Caenorhabditis elegans: one gene and its partner. The protein of the gene in region 2 interacts with the protein of the main gene of each other region in a pairwise test. Each region holds a gene or a part of one and is shown on either strand. Other genes may lie near its edges.

The links. Proteins that work in one complex are often made in the same cells at the same time.
Region 1: the proteins of dpff-1 (region 2) and lsl-1 interact in a two-hybrid assay, tested with the Caenorhabditis elegans proteins (one large-scale study listed by BioGRID).

Annotation. Positions count from the first base shown.
Region 1 is NC_003279.8:9,899,587-9,903,462, reverse strand, and holds lsl-1 (C2H2-type domain-containing protein), read right to left. Parts: upstream 2,185-3,876; coding exon 2,119-2,184; intron 2,072-2,118; coding exon 1,987-2,071; intron 1,940-1,986; coding exon 1,699-1,939; intron 1,463-1,698; coding exon 1,196-1,462; intron 1,033-1,195; coding exon 924-1,032; intron 874-923; coding exon 775-873; intron 727-774; coding exon 637-726; 3' UTR 534-636; downstream 1-533. Other genes in the region: Mitogen-activated protein kinase kinase kinase mom-4, read left to right, coding at 2,864-2,932, 3,091-3,257, 3,361-3,459, 3,505-3,584.
Region 2 is NC_003281.10:5,903,014-5,907,728, reverse strand, and holds dpff-1 (Zinc finger protein dpff-1), read left to right. Parts: upstream 1-1,606; 5' UTR 1,607-1,613; coding exon 1,614-1,696; intron 1,697-1,822; coding exon 1,823-2,076; intron 2,077-2,114; coding exon of another isoform or gene 2,115-2,126; coding exon 2,127-2,332; intron 2,333-2,381; coding exon 2,382-2,484; intron 2,485-3,276; coding exon 3,277-3,366; intron 3,367-3,413; coding exon 3,414-3,646; intron 3,647-3,697; coding exon 3,698-3,847; 3' UTR 3,848-4,166; downstream 4,167-4,715. Other genes in the region: ER lumen protein-retaining receptor erd-2.2, read right to left, coding at 193-435, 480-671. UniProt on the Caenorhabditis elegans protein: Probable transcription factor, involved in meiosis and stress protection.

The DNA of each region.
Region 1 (3,876 bases), on a different chromosome or scaffold from region 2:
CAAAACACCTTCAAATCCGTCAAACATATAATCTTAAAGTATCAATATGCACCACCTCAACTCGTTTACCTCTTTAATGAGCCACCTGCACTGCTTTTCGTCTGCGTCTCTCACTTCTTCATACTTTTTTTTCCCGGCTTTCTCCGAAAACATCTGCTCTTTCTCTGTGTGTTCCCGATTCCCTCAAATCTTTTTTTGTTCCCCCGCGAGAGGGATATTCAAAACGTGTGTCTCATAAATGTAATTTATATTCTAGAATCTGAAATTGGTTGTTTTTCCAAATTAAAAGAAGTATCATTGATATCCCCAACCCTGTGTATTAAATGTCTTAAAATCAGAAATCATCTTCTCTCATTATCACAGCTTTACCATTCAAACATTCCCCCAAATTGTCTTTTTCTTCACCTTGTCCTGCTTTGGTTGTGCTTTAATTGTGAATTTCCCAACTCCTTTATGCTTCTTTTTTACTTCCTTCCTTAAAAAACTTTGCCATCATCCAACGTTTGTTGTATTTTGTCTTCCATTCATATTTTCAAAATGAAAACTTCATAAAAATGAAAGGAACAAGTGCAACAGAACAAAACAATTACACGGGCGTTAGAAAGACAGGGATGTGGGGAAAATTCAGGGGAAAAACTATGCTGATGGTTTTAGAATGTTCATCTCATTTTCAGTGTTAGTGATCATACTGTAGCAGATTTGAGAGATATCGACTTCTGGAGAGCCCTGAAACAAAATAATACAATTAAGAATTAGCAATATTTAACAACTCACCATTTCAAGTTCATTATTACGAATCATCAATTGAACACGAGAATGATAGCTTTGGTGTTGACGATACATATCTACGTCGGCGAATACTCTCATGCATTTCTGAAAATAAAGTTTACAGGATATTCAAGATTTAATTTTCAATTATTTACCGTGCAATAATTTGGTTCTTCAGCTTCTTTCTTATCATGAGAAGCATACATATGCAGTTGACAATCCTCTCTTCCACTACATTCGCACTTGCAAATTGGGCATCGAAAGCTGTAATTTTCAGATTTTGCATGGGATATTAGTAAGACAATAATTATAATAATTTGCGGTAAAAATACAAACGCTGGTCTTTTCACGTCTTCTTTTTTTGTAAAATACAAAAGGGCGTGCGCCTTTAAAGAGTACTGTAATTTCAAATTGAATTGAAACTTACATCTCAAACTCGAGTGGTTTAGCTTGTTCTAGAACATCGGATGCCATGTGACAGTTAGTCAATCGCATTGTAGCTCTCATGATTTTATCGTCAAATGAAGATAGTGGGATAAGCTGGTTTCGGCAGATCATATCAACCCATTTTGAAGGATCTTTACCCAATAAAAGTTTCGGAACCGATCGCTTCTTCTCTGGATTGTAATAGGGCATCGATGTCCCACGAATGACTAGAGCATCGGACGGAATAATTCCAGACGAACGCCGATTGCTGAAATCATTTTTAAGACGAGATAGATATCAGAATTCCCCTCGTACAACACATATAATTCGTGGTTCGTGTATTATACGGTGGACGTACAATAAATGTATTATTCACATAATATAATGGACGAAGTTCTTAAAATTCGTGCAATGCAATGTGAATAACATATTTATTGTACGTCCAATGTATAATATACGTACCACGAACTATTTGTGAAGGTGAAGGGTCGACCGATTGCCAACCTCGAATATGGTCTATAAGCAGCTTCCAACTCTTCTTTGCTTGTCACATGAGTTCGCATGTGCTTTTTCATGTTTCCTTTCAATCGGAACTGTTTTCCACAAAATGGACACACATAAGGGGTATAGCCGGTGTGAACGGTACGATGCTCGAACATATTCGATTTGTATCGGAATCCTCGGCCACAAACATCGCAGATGTATGGTTTGGTGTCGGTATGAATCACAGAGTGCTGTTGGAGACCTGAAATGTTTTTTTTTATTTCAGCTTTCTATTTTTATGCGAATAACCTTTATAATTCATAAACATTTTATTACACACATTACACTGATGAACAGCAAACGGGGCGACTTCTTCTTGTTGATAGGTTCCGAACTAGAAACATTTCAATAATCTTAAAAATAAGAATCGAAATAAAATACCGTTATAGAAGCTTCGTAGTCCTCGCCGTCGTAAGATGGATCCGTTCGGTCATCAATAATTGACATCTGAAGTAAAAAATAAAATTTTTTGAAGAAAAAATGCAGACAATTTGTTGGTTTAAACATAAAATTAAGACAAACAAAACTCATAAATTAATTGACAGCTTCTCTAAATTTTAGGATTACCGTGTTTGACAGTTTCGTGGTGAGACCCAAAAGTTTCGTTGCGTCATGCGCCTTTGAGCACAGTGTCCCCAACAAAGAATTGTTTCTGCAATTTCGAATTAAGCTGAAAACATTATTTATATATTTAACAAAATTAGTTTAGAACAGAAGAACAGAAAATTAGAACATTTTCGATCTTTGTATTTTTTATACAAATATAATTTGAATAAATTTCCATACTTCTTCCCCGTTGTGTAATTTCTTTACTTTTCAGAACTTAAAACATTCAATTATTCTTTATTTTGAATTTTCTGTAAAACCTGCGCAATTGAATTTTATGTATTTATCAAAACAATTTTCAGCCATGCTACAGTAACTTCTTTAAAATCATCATTCTTCCTTGTCTAAATCGGAAATCTGTCTGTGTCCCGTTGGTCTATTTTGTTATTCGTCTGCAGTTTCTTCTACTTGTGCACTATATCGTTTCCACTGAGCGAGAGAAAGAGTATACACACACAACACATGCCAGTTCCTGTCCTTTGCCGCCCATCACCATTTTTTTCACCGTTTCGGCTCTGAAATGGACAATTCGTCACAGAGCAAACCGTCTAGTAGTTCGTCCAGTCATTCGCCAAGTCCTGCCGCAATTGTAAGTTTAATGGATTTTGAGTAAAGAAAAATAACGTTTTCTTGTAAAAACAGTATTGTATTTAATTTTTAAAAAAATCAGTTGAAGACGTATAAAGCCTGCTTTTACCAAAACTATCAATAAAAATCACTGAAAACTCAATAAATTAATAAATTCAGACACCAACACAACGAACAACACGAGATTCCGGATTGTGCTCAACAATTGATATTCCCGAAATTCAAGCACAATGTATTGATAATTTAAATAGTCATTATCTCGGAAAAGGCACTTATGGATTGGTTGAGAAAACAAGATATAGAAAAACTAGGCAGGATGACTTTAGGTTCGTTTCTAGCTTCAAAAATTTAAATTTAATTCTTTTAAAGCATGAGGAATTATCAAAAGTTAACAAAAAATCAATAAAATCACCAAAATATTATTTTCAGGCCAGCAGCAATCAAATATTCTTCTCAACTTCATATGGCAACTCTTATAAGAGAAGCAAAAGTTATGTGGGATCTCAGAAATCATCCTAATATTATAAAGTATGTTTTTATAAATGGAAAATACTGAAAATAGAAGTTTTTCAGAATTTATGGACTGTACAAAAGCCCTCGGAATGGGCAAGGAGTCGTTATGGAATATATGGATTGTGGAAGCATGGCCGATTGTGAGATTTTCATTTAAATTTAGTGAAAATCCCCGATTTCGCCAAATTTTTTAACATTTTGTCGGTTTATTCCGTGTTTCTTAGCGAATTAAACTACATTTTTTCGGCAATAGGAACAGAAATTTCTATCAGCTAAAAATATATTAAAATACATCAAAAAAGCGGATTATACTGCAAAATATGGAAGAAACTGAATAAAAATCAATATATGGACGCTGTAACACGAAAAATCTGGCAAAAAAAATTTCACTATAATTTTGAACAAAAAAAATGCTATTTGGTTTTTTTTTTC
Region 2 (4,715 bases):
AATACGGGGAAAACGGTTGGAATCGGGAGAAACGACAATTTCTAAGCACAACAATTTTCTTGTACTATCTCCAATTTTGCCATCTCTGGATTTTACACTTTTTTACGGCATGTCGAATTGAGAGGGAAAATTTTGCACGCTGAAGTCAAATTTGGCGCATTTATTGTATTATTTATTATTTTCCAGATTTACCTCAGCGGAACCGGTAGACTGGAGAAGGAAGAGTTGTGGAAGAATGGCCACAGCCTCCAAATAGATCGAAAAAGTCCAGAGCAACTCAAATGGAGCGAAATCGTGATTGATGAGAAGAGCGAGGATCGCAGCTGGGACGATGAGAAGCTCGACACGGAAGGTATCCGACTCGCGCATGTAAGTTGAGCGGAATTTGAAGAACATCAGATACACTGTGGCGTACGTAGCGGCGAGGAAGGTGATCTGAAATTTGATTGTATTTATAATTGTTACGGACAGAAAGTTACCTTCATTGTAGTGTTATACAAAGAAATGTATGTGGAGAAAAGATCCAAGTATCGAGCAGTGAACACGAGAGCGAACAGAATCTGCGACCGCGCAGAGATTCCGGAGCACGATCTGCTCTTCCAGATTTTGAGCAGAAGGATGATAATCGCAAGCAAGTGCGACATATCTGCCGATATACGGAAGATGTTCATGATGACCCTAAAAATTATCATACTTTGAGAATTTAGATACATACATCAGGTAAAGAAAAGAAAACGCAAATATGAAATGAATTGGAAAACACCTATTCATTCCAGTGAATGGGTATGTTTTCAATTATCGAGGTCAACGTTGTTTATCAAAAGATAACGGATAGAGTGATAGGGAACAGAGAAAATTATATTATATGGACGGTAAAGTTCCGGAGAACGAACAGAAATGGTTTAGAGTTTTCCTTTCGCAGACAAAAAAGAGTGCAATAAAAGCCAGCACTGAATGTGCCACGTGGGAATTTTGAAAAATGCAAATACAACGCAACGAAGCTAAAAAGGTTTACTGAAAAAAACTAAAAAATGGAACTTAAAACATAAAGACAAAATTTTTAAACATTGAATGCAAAAACTACGTGTATTTACAGTTAAAAAACACATAACCCTGCATTCAACAAAAAAACAAACATTTCGATTCGCTAGGTAAAATGCATGGAAATATTCTATGAAAACTAGAATGTTTGAATAGAGCATTTTGTTCGAACGTTCTGAATACCGAATGTTTTTTTTTTGTTTTCGAAAGACCTAGATTTTCTAAAATTGTAGGCCTACATGAACTTTTCAACCATTTTTTGGTATTCACATAATGCGTAGCTACATATTAATCAATTATCGCAAAAAATTTAAACTGTTTAATTGAAAAACGAAACGTTTTAGGCCGGAAACGAAGAAGAAAACTCGAGCCAAAAGGTCCATCAGCCAACGAGTCCACGCTGGACAATACGCAATTTCGCGTGTTGGTGTTTGCGTACATCGGCAGCTGTCCAATTTATCGATCAGTGTTCATTCATTCTCTTGTTTTTTTTGTTTGTTCACACCGGGCGCCCGATTTCTTGAGCTATCAAAATGTTTAAAAATAATCCAAGACAGCTAATCTTACAGACAATGATCTCGGAAAACGGATATATGGACCTGATGCGGAACTGCATTAAATGGAATTCCCGGCAAATGGAGGATCGTAAAAAACGGTTAGTTATTGATGTTTCGGCTACTTAAAAAAGATCCATTTGAAATCTGAATAATCTAAGTAATGATAAATCTTTAGAGCATTTAGGAATTATTTTTTGGTTGTACTAAGCCCCTAAAAGTTGCAGACTGCGGTTCCCATACTATGAACATCAAACGGCTACGGCCCAGCGAGAGTCTCGCTTCACAACCCGCAACGTGGATCACATGTATCCATCAAATGATCCAAATACTGTTGTTCAATTCGCAACCGAGAGATGGAAGAAGAGCAAGTCACAGCCACCATCTGATGCTGTTGAGATGAGCATGTTTTTGCGTGAGAATCCGTCTATTCAGGTTGCAATTGATCATCTCACTCCACAAGTTGTCGGACCAACAACTGGTGAGAAGCATCAGAACGATTCAACCTAATTTTTGTAGTTCGATTTGCAGAAAGTGTTTCTGATAGTTCGAACGACTCAACTACCATCAGACCATCCCGCCAAACACAGATCAAAGAGGAATATCGTGATGACTACGTTCTTGACGATGAGCTCTCTCCAGACGAGTTTGGCTCCGATGAAGATGATTGGTCGTCGCGTAAACGCCGTAAAGGCAACTTGGGGCCTGTTCAGAAAGCAACTTCGTCACGTAAAAAGGTTTCTTTATTTATTCAATTGTTTAAATAATTTTATTCTGACTGTTTAGGTACCAACAACTCGTTCCTCTGTCTCTCGATTGACCCCATCTCGTTCCATAGTGAAGGAAACAAAATATGAAGAACCGGAGGAGAAGACGTATCCATGTGACAGTGAGTGGTTGTACGGCGGATTAGCGAAGCCCTCTCGCCCAGGAGAACACACCATTCTTCTTGTCCTTTTTAGTCTTATTTGCCTCCCCCATCGCCCACAGCATGTCAGTTACCGGGAACACTATCATCATGATTTTTAGTTTAATTTTTCGTATCTTGATTCATTCGGTTTCGAGATTTTTCAAAAAATTAGGATGCTTGGAAATTGCACGAGATTATTTATGTTTTTGCATGCTTTAGTTTTTTTTTTAATTATGCATGTTTCTCCAGAGATCCAAGGAAAATTAAATCAAAAAAATGGGAAATTTGGTCTAAAAAATAAATTTTGGAAGATTATGTATGATCTTTTTTTAATATTAGTTTCATAATTAGTGGTGTGATTTGTAGTACTTCTTCACATAATTGTGGATCTTATCAAATGTATTAGCTTCCTTCCTCTCGTTATCAATTTGCACTAAGTCATAAGCCAATATGTATCCTGAATATCCCATTCTTATATCCCTCCTAGTATTTTATCCCTCTGTAAAAGAAACCTGGGCGAGAGGGACCTCAGTAAAAAATCCTGCGGCAACCGCTCAACTGATCAAAAATACATCTCTCCCACCCGGGACACGGGGTCTATCGAGAGGAAGTTTGTAGAAATATAGGCACTAAATTTAGCATGTACTGAGTGTTCCTGGAAGCTTATATGATGTGGCATAATGGGAAATCTGTGATTTGAAAATACTCTTTTCAAACCGCATATTTCCCAAGTCCTTTCGTTTGTAATTTAAAATTTTTGATAATTTTCAGAATGCAGCGCGAAATACAAAAGCCTCGCGGGTTTAAGCTATCATCAGTCGTATCTTCATGATCAAAAGTCTAGTCAACCACTGGTTAAGTGTAAGTTTTTTGCATTCCAAGCTATTTTCAAATGTATTATTTTTCAGTATTGTCTCCCAGTATAGAAATATCTACTAGCTGTGATTTCTGCAGCGGCACTGCTTTTATGAACAAAAATACAAAATTGCCAGAGGATCTCGTTAGTTGTCATGATTGTGGTCGTTCTGGTCATCCTTCCTGTCTTAATTTTAATCAAAATGTGACCAAAATCATAAAAAGAAGCGGATGGCAGTGTCTTGAGTGCAAGAGTTGCACCATTTGTGGTACAAGTGAAAATGATGTAAGATATTTTCTATTATATTTATAAAGTGCAATATTAATTGGATTTCAGGATAAATTGCTCTTCTGTGACGACTGTGATCGTGGATACCATCTTTATTGTCTGACTCCGGCGCTCGAAAAAGCTCCAGATGATGAGTATTCATGTCGGTTATGTCAAGTTGAATTCGGAGACAAAGCGAGTGCACCGGCCAAGAAGTAATGGTTCTCAAATATTATATTTATTCCAATATTTTTTGCATAATCTCGACCCGTTTGCTTACGATCCTCCCACACCGTCATCCGATTATTTATTCTTCATTTTCACTTGAACTTTAAGTATTATTATTACTACGTAATGGCTCATACATAGAGAAAAATTCTTGTTCTAAAAAGCCAGCCTAAAACCTCACTCACCCCTCCTTCTGCTACTTTGATTTCTCGCTCTTTTCTTTTTTGTACTTCCACATTTTCCTCGTCCTTTTTATTTATTTCAGTCTTATCATAAAAAAGTTCAATAAATACTATGATTCAAAATAAAACACATGTGAAGAAACTCGAACAATATTGGAAGTTTCAAAGAATCAAACGGAACATTGAAAATTCTAATTCAAATTACTATTTTCCAGTTTAATTGACAATTTTTTTTATTAACATCTTGGAGTACGATACAAGGTCTTACAACGATCGAATATATCCAAATGAAAAGAGATAGGCACCTTTAAGAAGTACAGTAACCTTCACGGCCCACTGTTTTGCAGTTTTCTTTCATTTAAGCTAGTTAAAAATATATATAATTGTTTAATTTTAGATAAATATTGTCACATCCAATAGGTTTTTAGAGTAAAAATTACAACAAATAAAATTGCAAAACCATGGGGCGTGGAGATTATATTTGGTCTTGTCGAGACCTGGTACTGTATTTTTAAGTGAAAATTGCAAACTTTCGTATCTGGGTAATATATCTAGTTTTAAAAAATCTAAAATTATCGTTTTAGAATGTTTAATTTACTTTGGTTGTTTCATAAAAAGAGAATTAACTGTTTGTATTCATTTTATTATCATTTTATCATCTTATCTGACCTACTACC